Oryza sativa Japonica Group: one gene and its partners. The protein of the gene in region 1 interacts with the protein of each later gene in a pairwise test. Links are inferred from orthologs where the notes say so. Each region holds a gene or a part of one and is shown in the gene's direction. Other genes may lie near its edges. The genes, in order: protein ACCUMULATION AND REPLICATION OF CHLOROPLASTS 3, chloroplastic; cell division topological specificity factor homolog, chloroplastic; plastid division protein CDP1, chloroplastic.

Region 1 (3,211 bases):
TTTTGAACTTCTGTTTCTAATGGGTGAAATGACTTCCCTCTTTTTTCTCCCAGTCCAGAGTGCAGTTGGGTCTTTTTGTACTGTTAGATAACACACAAGAGAATTGGCATACACGAACTCTGGTTTCCTCTAAAATTATTAGCATTATCGTGTTGTTTTACAAAACCTATTGTTATCCATGTAGGATGCAGAAAGAGAGCTGGAGAAAACATGGAGCCCCATAGTTGAGATACAGTTTGGAGGAGGAATTTACAGAGGGAGGTGTCAAGAAGGTGTCCCTGAAGGAAAGGTGAATCCATGTAAACTAAGTGCTCTTCCATTTGGCTTGACAGGAAATTAAGTAACTAACCCTTCAATGGTATTTTTTTTCGTAAAATTTACAGGGTCGCATAACCTTCAGCGACGGTAGCTTTTACGATGGACTCTGGAGGTATGGCAAGAGATCAGGTCTAGGGACACTCTATTACAGTAATGGTGATGTATTCCATGGAACATGGAGGGATGACCTTTTTCATGGAAAGGTATGGTATACTTTGTATTTGAATATGACAATTATGAGATGTCCATGTTAGGTATGGCTTCTCCCATTTACAGCATTCTTTAAAACATGATGATTAGCTCAGCACCTTCTTTGTTGGGTAATGTTCTTGCCACTGATGTTTATTTTAACATACTATTCTTTAAATGACGGTAGTCAACCTTCCTTTCGAGATATGAAGATAAACTTGCTTTAATGTGGTAATTTGGATTTATTTGTTACCAAAGGATTTGTATTTTCCTTTTGATTTCCTTTGTGTAGCTAATCTTCCTGCATTTATTTCCTTTTGTTTTATAGATGATCACTTTGTATAACTAAAAAGTGCACAGTGTTGTACTGTTCAAACATTACTTCTTTCTGTTCTGTTGTGATTAGGACATTAGGTGTTATGATTCTTTATACTGTTAGGGTTCTCAATTCTGTATTGATGAATTTTGATCCTTTATTTGGTACACTGAATTGCTGCCAAGAGGATAAGTACTTCCTCCGTCCCAATATATAATAACCTTAGTAATGGATGGGACACATCCTAATACAACGAATCTGGACAACCCTGTCCAGATTCGTTGTATTAGGATGTGTCTCATCCGGTACAAGGTTGCTATATTTTGGGACGGAGGGAGTAGGTAACGCTCTTTCCTTTATTGTAAACTTAACCTCCATCACTCCCATGTAATTTATGGCTCTTTTCCTCCCTACCTTCCTGAGTTCTCCTTCCTTTGGTTCTCCTGCCTTTATTGGGCTATGATGATAGTATTACATGAACTAGCACAGTGATCCACTCATACTCATTTATACCCAGTCCATGCGCTTATGAACCATTGCATTCAGGTCCTGTTCATTGAGTAGTTTTTCGCATTGAAAAATCATATATTCTGATTGTAAAATCCCAGTAACTCTCCAGAACATTTCATACAGATGTTTTGATGGCAACCTTCGCATTAAATTCAGAACATGTATATTCATATTAGATTTAATAATATCACACTTTATAAATTGTTGTGTTCCATGTGAAGTTCTGAGTTTTCTCCCCTTTCATTTAGGGCTGGTATTATTTTCACAGTGGTGACCGCTGGTTTGCAAACTTTTGGAAGGGGAGGGCTAATGGTGAGGGTAGATTTTATGCCAAAGATGGGAGTGTCTTCTTTGGCAATTTTCAAAATGGATGGCGCCATGGGGAGGCCCTGTTGATAGATGCAAATGGATCGAGGTTGTCATCTACTCGTGTTTACGTGTTTTCCTGAACAATTACATCTGCATATTCTTTTTAAATTAACCTTACTATGAACCATGGCTACAGGTGGATTGAAGTTTGGGATGATGGTGTACTTATTGGTCAAACTAGGTTGGAAAAATAGGGCTCCAAACTATTTCCCATACTTTATTGGTAAAGTTGTACACTTGTACTACACATAAGTTGGAGTACTGCATTGTAGCAAGTGCCACGACCACAATACGTTCCGCAACTCCGGTATGTACCTCCGTTGCACTGAAGTACTTCATTGTTTGATGGATATACTCATGCATGCTTCAACTTTCACCGAGACACCCAACGATGATCCTTGTGTATTGTCACTTTCTTTTGCAGATTGTACATAGATGCCTGTTGGAAGCACTGTTGTAGAGTTGAAGCTAGTTTCTGAAAGCTGCGTTAGTCATTGATGAAATTTTTGACGCAAAGTCATTGGTGAATTGTGTATATAATCCCAAGAAGAATGGGATGAAGCTTTCTTCTTCATACCGTGGATGTGGAAATCAGGGAAAAGTCACACAACTGCATCAAGCATATGCTACATGAAGTAGGTTTGATTGATTTCATTTATGGCCGCTAGATATTCTTTGATTGGACTCAATGCATGGATGAACAAGCTCTCGTGGCTTTGCCCCCTCAATTCCAGCTGAGTATGTGATTTTCCACATATGGGGTCCCACAGCACCCTTCCCTTCTCTGTTTCCTGTCACCGTCAGTATCACCCACACATTCTGTTCTAGTGATGATTATGCATTTTAAGTTTGTTTACTTTCACATGATTCAATCAATAGATTCACACTAATTCGAAGTTTGAAGCAGAACTTGCTAATGGATCTAGTGCTTAGTGTTGCCGTTCATTCAATTTGAGCTGTTCGAATAATCGGTGATTGGGTTGTTAAATCCTTAACTGGCAAGCTTGACATGCAATCTGTTATTGCTCCAGATGGTGGTAAAAGTTGCAACCCATCAGATAGTATTTAACATTTTCACAGCCTATACTTAACCCAAGACCCAAGTACCCAGCTGAAGACTGAACCGCCCAATCTATCTACTAGAAAAGGTCACTTGCTCACTTAGGTATAAAGAAAGTAAACTTGCTCACTTGCTCACCTTCTTGGCCAGATGATACCGGCATCTACAATATTCCTCCTCTTGTTTCAACCATTCTGGCCGAAATGACAAGAGATACTTGCACAGAGCTAGGAGCCCAGTATTATACTTCCTGAAGTCGATTGATTTCAACTAGAATTTCATATTGTTAGTACAGGACAGAAGTCAGATATCAATGAGCTCATGTGTGATTGCCTCACCCATCATGTGGCCGTTTACCGTGGCTGCGATTCCCGTGTAAACAAATGACACGTGAGATGCCTGAATGGGGGGCAAAAATATAATGTGGCCATCCAAGTATCCAATCGCAC
Region 2 (3,753 bases), on another chromosome or scaffold:
CATAAACCATCATTTCTACCAAGTTTCATGTAACTCGCATATATGGTTTGGGAGATGTTAGTTGAGAACCGAAGAGGACAGAATCTGATATTTCTCTGCTTGTTATTGTTATAACTCTTGTTAGTTGTTATGGTTGATGTTGATGATTGACAAGTATGTAACTTGATGGTATAACTGCTGTTGTAATGTGCCTCTAAATGTTCTAGAGAAGACTCGAATCGTACTTATTGTTGATTATAGTGGAAGCTTGGAGTGAACCATTTTGTCCCGTGGTTTTTCATTCCTTACACTGAGAAGGTTTTTTCACGTAAATCACCGTGTCTTGTGTGCATGTGTTTGTTGTAGGTACGCTGTTGATTTGCTAGTTGAAACAATTCTCAAAGTTCATGCGAAGATGAAGGGTTAATTTTGTGAAATATGTTTGCTGGTTAGTGAATTGTAGTTTGCACATTGAAATGATTTGGTTCATCTCCAACAAGTAGAATGTAAATTTAGTTTCAATTCAAAAACGGCAGCTTGATTGCATGACGAACACATGATGTTTACCAACCAGAAGGTCTTGAGCTCGATTCCTTGCGCTTGCACGCTTTAATTTTGTTTCACTAGGACCTGGTATGAATCTTAATTTGGATCAGATGGACCAAAAATAACATATTTGTAAAGAAAAAACTAACGCCATATTTTTATCGTTTTGTATATTCTTAGCACAAAATGTGTTTTCTCCTATAGGAAAAATATGCAAGTACGCCAAGTACTCCCTCTGTCCCAGTTTACTAGTCGTTCTAGGAAAGAGATGACAAAATATGGTGCTGGAAAAATGACCAACGTGCCCCTACATTAATCATTTCAATGCTTAAAAATTAACACAAAACTAGTACTGCGCCTGTCATTCTGATATGTCTGCAACCAGCATGGGGAAGAAAATTAATAGAAGTACTCATACTAGTGGCTAGCCTGCTAGCTGCCCTACGCCTAAACGATCCTCTTTCTGGGACAAACTCTACACCCCAGCGACAGCTAAACCGGGACGGAGGGAGTACTAGCCACCTACTGTTCTCCGTCCAGCCAGGGCCACACGTGAGACTGACCAGTGGGCCCCACTGTCGGTTGTACCCCAGTTGAGGTGACCACTACGCCACCACCTTTCCAATTCCATTCCCATCCCAAGTCCAACCAAGAGTGGAGCAGAGACTCACTGGAGACCAAACCCTAGCTGCCATGGCAATGGCGACGTCGATCTCCGCCGGCTTCGGCGGCGAGCCCGGCGCGGTGCTCGCCCCGTCCGCCTCCGTCCTCCCCGCCCCGCGCCGGCGCAACCCCGCCACCAGCTCCAAGGTCCGGTCTCCATCTCTTCTTCTTTCCCCTCCCCCCAAAACCCTAGATAAGATGGAGGAGGTTGGGTCTCCCCGTGGCCGGATGCCATCTCGGATCCCTGCGCGCTGATGAAGATGAGATGATAGATTCGTACCTCTTTTTGTTTTTTGAAGGAACAAAAGATTGTGCCGCTGCACCTCGTTTTGGGGGTGGGGGTGGGGAATGGGGAGGAGAAAAAAATAATGAGAGAGGAGATTTTTCATGTTGAGCGTTCTCGATTCCAACATCCTCTTGGATCTAGTGCTGTAGAATACTAGAATTCGTTACCAAAGCGGCGGTTTTGGTGTGCTCTGATTCTGGTCTGTCGCGAGGTTCACGAGGAACTGTTGGGATTTAGATATTAGTCAAGCTGTGAAATTTGATATGTAAAGCTGCGGAAGACGCAGCTATACATTTGCGACCTCTGGTCTAGTTTGTGTTAGCGTACAAGCAAGTGTAATTGCTAGGTGTAGACACAAAATGCTGGCCTGGGTGTCTCGTGTAGTCAAATGTTTTCGAAGCACATCTGCTGTTATGAGTTAATATTAGATGTTTGAAGAGAGTGAAAACCTAACTGTGTTGTCAAATATGGGTGTGAACTGGAAATGACAATGTTCTTATTTAGGATTTGGCATACAGCCTATCTTTCTATATCTCAGTCTTAAATAACCTTTGTTTTATACCTCCTGAGATGAGTATTAGTCATATTACAGTAGGTCAGGATAGCACATTAGTTGCTTGTCCCATTCTTGCCTATAGGAGTTCTGAGCAAATTATAAAGTTTTTGTTTGGTTGGTTTCTGAATGGTAACTGTTTCAAATGCTTAATAACAACTCAAAAGTGTGTATCATTCTACCATGCTCTTGTGCTGTTCTGGTTCTGCTCAATTTAATATTGGATGACTTTTGGAATGAAGCGACCAAATGTGCTAACTCCACTATTATTTTCATAGATATGCTGCTGAGACTATTGTAGCAAAGACTCTTCTTGAATTGTTTAATGTGCTAACAGATCCTGCTTGGATTGACACTGGTACTGGTAGTGATGCCGAACTTGAATTTTGGCAAAGCATATAGTGCATTCACACACGCGTACCATGTTTCTTTTCCTATTGTAAACTCTTTGGAGTAACCTTGTTTGAACTTCTCCGTAATGGTTGAAAATCATAATCTAATGAAAATTTCTGGTTTGTCTTGATTCTTGAATGTGTAGTTGCATATAATTCTCAGCTTTAGATTGCATTCACATTGGATATTCTTTGCATCATAGAGTTGTTTTTTTTCTATGGAATAGCATATTTCAGTGGATTATTAGCTAACGACTTTACCTCTACTTCTGTAGGCACAGTTTAGTTCATTTCCTCGTGGACGATCTTGCAACATCATGCTTACTCCTAAGCATCTAGGCATTGAGCACCAAAGCTGTTCAAAGAGCTCCATTCAGACTTTTGCTCTTTCAAGGAATGACTTCTCTCCTATTGCTCAAGAGGTGGAAGGCTTTCTTCACAACATTGTTAACATGGGGTTTCTTGATCGTCTGAAATTAGCATGGAAGATAATCTTCCCAGCACCAAGCATTAAGGAGAACTCTAATGCAAACATCGCAAAGCAGAGGCTTAAGATGATACTGTTCTCCGACAGGTGTGAAGTGAGTGACGAGGCAAAGAAGAAGATTGTTGAGAACATCGTTGAGGCACTCTCTGAATTCGTGGAGATAGAATCACGAGACAACGTCCAGGTGGATATCTCAACTGATGCTGGCCTTGGCACAGTATATTCTGTGACCGTTCCTGTTCGCCGTGTCAAGCCTGAGTACCAGGAATCTGAAGAGCAGTACAGAGGGAAGATCGTAGGTGTTGACTTCAAGGACACTGGAGAAACATCAGGCAGCGTCGACGTTACGTTCGATTTCTTCGTGCCCAACAAGAACTACTGACCGTTGTATTCCCCTTTTGCTTCCGAGTATCCCAGAACTCCTTGGTTAGAATGTTCAATTTGTTGAAGGCTTTCTTCGCAATCTTGGTTAGTCTAATGTACATATCTAGGCTTTTGTTTGTCTCTGCGTTTCATGTAATTTTATTTTGAATTTTTGTTCTGAAGGTGGCAAATATCAGTACCGTGGGGTTAGTCCAACTTGGATTTTCCGAAGAAATGTTTATTTATAAGAAAATAACGTTGTGCGCTCGTGCTGATGTTTTGCCAGATACACTATGTTCTGCCATGTCCCAATTTTGTAATGTGATTAAATCAATCATCACCTGATGCATATCACGACTACACCATGTTCTGCCATGCCCCAGTTTTGTAATGTGATTTAGTTAATAATCATCCGATCTTCATACTGCAGAACACATATCTGATACTAGCATTTGTCACGGTTGATCAAATATTGATACACCGG
Region 3 (3,753 bases), on another chromosome or scaffold:
GCAAACTAAGTCCTCCCATTAATTGGCCATGATAGCAAGTCCTGGCAACTGCCAATTTTAGAATTTGCTGAAATCATCCCACCAATTCACCAAACCTGCCCTGAAATGGTGTAGCCTATATGCCATTTTTTGAACTGCTACCTCCATTCCAAAACATAGCAACCACTTATGACTATGAATTTAGACATGCACATGTCCAGATTCGTAGCCAAAAGATGTTATATTTTGGGATGTAGGTAGTATAAAGGAGGTATGCGTTTGCACTTAACTTGAAGAGTGTACATCACAACAGAAGTATACTTGTTATAGACTGATCTTTTTACTCTCTAATAGTAAGACTTAATAGACTGATCTGAAAGCTTTTTGTTGTTCTCAGATGAACACCTAAAACCCACAGACAGCGGTTGGTAGCTGGTAACATTGGCATCGTCACTGCTGTCTAGTCTTAGTCTATAGTCCATGTCTGATGTCTCCATGGAATTGATATCTCTAGTAATTATTTAGCACACCAAAAATTCAATCGTTTTGAGTCCATGGTGGTTTATTAATTCTCAATTCTAAGCTATTCAGACAAGATGTAACACCAGAATGATGAAGGAAGTAGCAGACCTCGGCGGCCCAGTCGACGACGGGCGCGATGAGGCGGCACGGCCCGCACCAGTCGGCGACGAAGTCGACGAGCACGGGCAGGTCCGACTGCAACACCTCCGCCTCGAACTCGCTCTGCCCGATGAACCTCACCGCCGCGCCACACCGCACGCGCGCGCTGGCGATGCGGCGGCCGCCGGGTGGGGCGGCGGCGGGCCCCACCACGCGGAAGCTACCCACCGAGGCCGGAGGCGGCGGGAGGCGCAGCAGCGCGCCGGGGAGGAGGCGCGCGCCGCGCGCCGAGGAGAACGGCGGCGGCGCGAGGCCGGACGCGGTGGTGCTCGGTGCGGACGCCATGAGAGGGAAGAGAAGGGAAGGGGGATGAGGAATCTTCTCGAAGGCGCCACTCCGGCCACCAGTTCCCCTCCCCCCTCCGCGAGATTTGTTCGCGACGAAGCGGATTTTTTCCCCTCCGTTTGTGAGGCCTGGAATTCAGCCCACTTCACCACACCAAGCAAGTTTTCGGCCTGGCCCATGTAGGCCCAGAAACGAAGCCCATTGGGTAAGGACACGCGTCGGCGTCTGGGAGGGTCCACCTGTCAACGTCTAGGCTCTAGCACAAAGCGCATGGACCAAGTCCATCGCCATCATCGACCTTCCTCTCTCTCTCTCTCCGGCCTCCGGCTTCGCCTTCACGACGCCTCTCCTCCTCCACCTCGCTGACGCTTTGTCCCTTTATTCGCGGGGGCCTACGACTCGCCCGCCTCCCAAAACCCTAAAGCATCCATCCGCTCGCACATGGTGGCGTTGGCGAGGGTGGGCTAGGGTTGGGGGGGTGAGGTCTTCAGGCCAGCCATGGCGATGCCGACGGTGGCCGCGGCGGCGGCGGTTGTCCCCGGGGTCGCATGTGGGTCCTCGACGCGGCGTGTTGGGGTGGGAAATGGCAATGCGTCCGCACACGCCGGGGGTGGATGCCTGGCTGGCGGACGGCGAGGGGCGGCCGCGTGGGTTGCGCGCGCGAGGGTGGCGGAGGCGCCGCCGGTGGCCGCGGAGGGGAGCAGGCAGGAGGCCCCCGCCGCGCCGATGGTGGAGATCCCCGTCACTTGCTATCAGGTTTTTTTTTTTTTTGGCCACTCGTACTGTTTATGGATCCGAATTTTGGAAATGTGGTCTTATATCGTCGATGGATCTAGTTTAGCTCGGCTGGTCTCTGTTCGAATGATACAGTTGCAGATTAGATAGTCGTTTCTTGACCATAATTCAACTTTAGTGTTTGCACCACGATGCCTATTGTAATTTGCACTGGTAGTTCACACGCGTGACACGCCTCCCTGATTTTTGGAGTGACATGTTTCAAATGGCCAATGCAGATTCTTGGTGTTACAGAGAAGGCTGAGAAAGATGAGATTGTCAAAGCAGCAATGGAGCTGAAAAATGCAGAAATTGAAGACGGGTACATGGCAGAGGTGTCTACCTGCAGACAGGTTGCTCGCTGAATCAAGGAATTCTGGAAATATATTTGGATATACTGCTTTGTTTAATGTAGGGAATGCAGAATTCATGTGGTTAATCTTTGCTTATTTCTTTCATGTTTGGTAGGCTCTGCTGGTAGATGTGAGAGACAAACTTCTCTTTGAACAGGAGTACGCAGGAAGCATAAAAGAAAAGCTTCCACCCAGATCCTCTCTTCATATACCTTGGAGTTGGTTGCCTGCTGCACTTTGTGTCTTGCAGGAGGTAATGTGTAACACAGACATCCTTATTATTGTGAACAAATAAAGGAAAACCACCAAGTTTGGTTTAGGTTTGTCACCTTTTATGTTACATGACATAGTCATAGTCGTCACCATGACCATGCCCGGTATGTTTCTTTATAGGTCTGCCTTATTCTTTGTCAGAATACTATTCTCAATTCACTGAATGATTTGAAAGGGATCAAGAAGATTTAGGATCAATAATGTTTAACTAATAAAGAAAACTTTTATGCTAACTTCAGGGTAAATTATCCTTAGGAATGTGGTGAGGAGCGCGTAGGTTTTAAACTTTGCCCTTTCTTAGGACTGGGTAGCGTAAAATGCAGGGGATGCAGGTTAGTCACCATTATGATGTTTGTGAGTTCTAAGTGATCATGAATACAAGACACCTAGCAGCTTGAATTTATTAAAATTGAATGTACCATTATCATAATGAAATGGTGTATTACATGCTACAATATTCATTTCAGGTTGGAGAAGAGAAGCTAGTTTTGGAAATTGGTCAGGCGGCTCTACGACGCCCAGATTCTAGGCCATATGTTCATGATGTGCTTCTTGCAATGGCACTAGCTGAAGTAAGAAGCACACAAAATTTTAAATAACTGACTACAAATTGGTATATTTTGCAATGATTTGATGCATTTTCTTGTAGTGTTCTATTGCAAAAGCTAGCTTTGAGAAAAGTAAAGTGTCTCTTGGCTTTGAAGCTCTAGCACGTGCTCAATACCTGTTGAGGAGAAAACCGTCTTTGGAGAAGTTGCCCCTTCTTGAACAGGTTAATTTTTGTTGTTATCGCTCTACAGATTCTTCTACATGTAGAATTATGCCCTTAACTTATTTCATTGGATGAACTAGATTGAAGAATCACTTGAAGAGCTTGCACCTGCTTGCACTCTGGAGCTTCTAAGCTTACCTCAGACACCTGAAAACGCTGAACGCAGGCAGGGTGCTATTGCAGCTCTCTGTGAACTGCTTAGACAGGGTCTTGACGTTGAATCCTCTTGTAGAGTTCATGATTGGCCTTGTTTCTTGGGCCAAGCAATGAATAAGTTGTTAGCCACTGAAATTGTGGATCTACTTTCTTGGGATACTTTGGCTACAACTCGTAAAAACAAAAAATCGTTGGAATCCCAGAGCCAGCGGGCAGTAGTTGACTTCAATTGTTTCCATGTAGCGATGCTTGCTCACTTTGCGTTAGGGTTTTCAACCCGGCAGGCTGACCTGGTACCTTCTCCTTCTCAATAGTAGTAAACTATCATTTTTGCTATTTATGCATTATTTAACGTACAGTTCCTTTATGCAGATCAGTAAAGCCAAAACCATTTGCGATTGTTTAGTTGCATCTGAAAACACAGACCTGAAATTTGAGGAATCATTTTGTTTGTATCTCCTTGGAGAGGTGATAAGCTGA

Evidence for each region.
Region 2: the proteins of protein ACCUMULATION AND REPLICATION OF CHLOROPLASTS 3, chloroplastic (region 1) and cell division topological specificity factor homolog, chloroplastic interact in binary tests that used the Arabidopsis thaliana proteins (3 or more experiments, as listed by UniProt). The link is inferred for Oryza sativa Japonica Group from reciprocal best matches to the Arabidopsis thaliana genes ARC3 and MINE1.
Region 3: the proteins of protein ACCUMULATION AND REPLICATION OF CHLOROPLASTS 3, chloroplastic (region 1) and plastid division protein CDP1, chloroplastic interact in binary tests that used the Arabidopsis thaliana proteins (3 or more experiments, as listed by UniProt). The link is inferred for Oryza sativa Japonica Group from reciprocal best matches to the Arabidopsis thaliana genes ARC3 and PARC6.

Annotation. Positions count from the first base shown.
Region 1 is NC_089043.1:26,492,372-26,495,582, reverse strand, and holds the end of protein ACCUMULATION AND REPLICATION OF CHLOROPLASTS 3, chloroplastic, read left to right. Parts: intron 1-184; coding exon 185-289; intron 290-383; coding exon 384-521; intron 522-1,581; coding exon 1,582-1,748; intron 1,749-1,838; coding exon 1,839-1,896; 3' UTR 1,897-2,009; intron 2,010-2,126; 3' UTR 2,127-2,619; downstream 2,620-3,211. UniProt on the Arabidopsis thaliana protein: Together with MIND1 and MCD1, regulates FtsZ ring positioning in chloroplasts in an ARC6-dependent manner. Z-ring accessory protein involved in the initiation of plastid division and division site placement (might functionally replace bacterial MinC).
Region 2 is NC_089046.1:19,400,459-19,404,211, reverse strand, and holds cell division topological specificity factor homolog, chloroplastic, read left to right. Parts: upstream 1-1,154; 5' UTR 1,155-1,218; coding exon 1,219-1,335; intron 1,336-2,694; coding exon 2,695-3,288; 3' UTR 3,289-3,536; downstream 3,537-3,753. UniProt on the Arabidopsis thaliana protein: Acts as a topological specificity factor during plastid division and specify plastid constriction sites (such as the Z-ring) in a MCD1-dependent manner. Especially involved in epidermal plastids division in a FTSZ1-dependent manner.
Region 3 is NC_089038.1:35,030,712-35,034,464, reverse strand, and holds the start of plastid division protein CDP1, chloroplastic, read left to right. Parts: upstream 1-1,237; 5' UTR 1,238-1,443; coding exon 1,444-1,701; intron 1,702-1,958; coding exon 1,959-2,072; intron 2,073-2,187; coding exon 2,188-2,325; intron 2,326-2,812; coding exon 2,813-2,917; intron 2,918-2,994; coding exon 2,995-3,117; intron 3,118-3,197; coding exon 3,198-3,566; intron 3,567-3,645; coding exon 3,646-3,741; intron 3,742-3,753. Other genes in the region: thioredoxin X, chloroplastic, read right to left, coding at 610-945. UniProt on the Arabidopsis thaliana protein: Component of the plastid division machinery required for PDV1 localization to constriction sites. Involved in chloroplast division site placement. Required for the proper formation of FtsZ rings at the division site in nongreen plastids (e.g. etioplasts).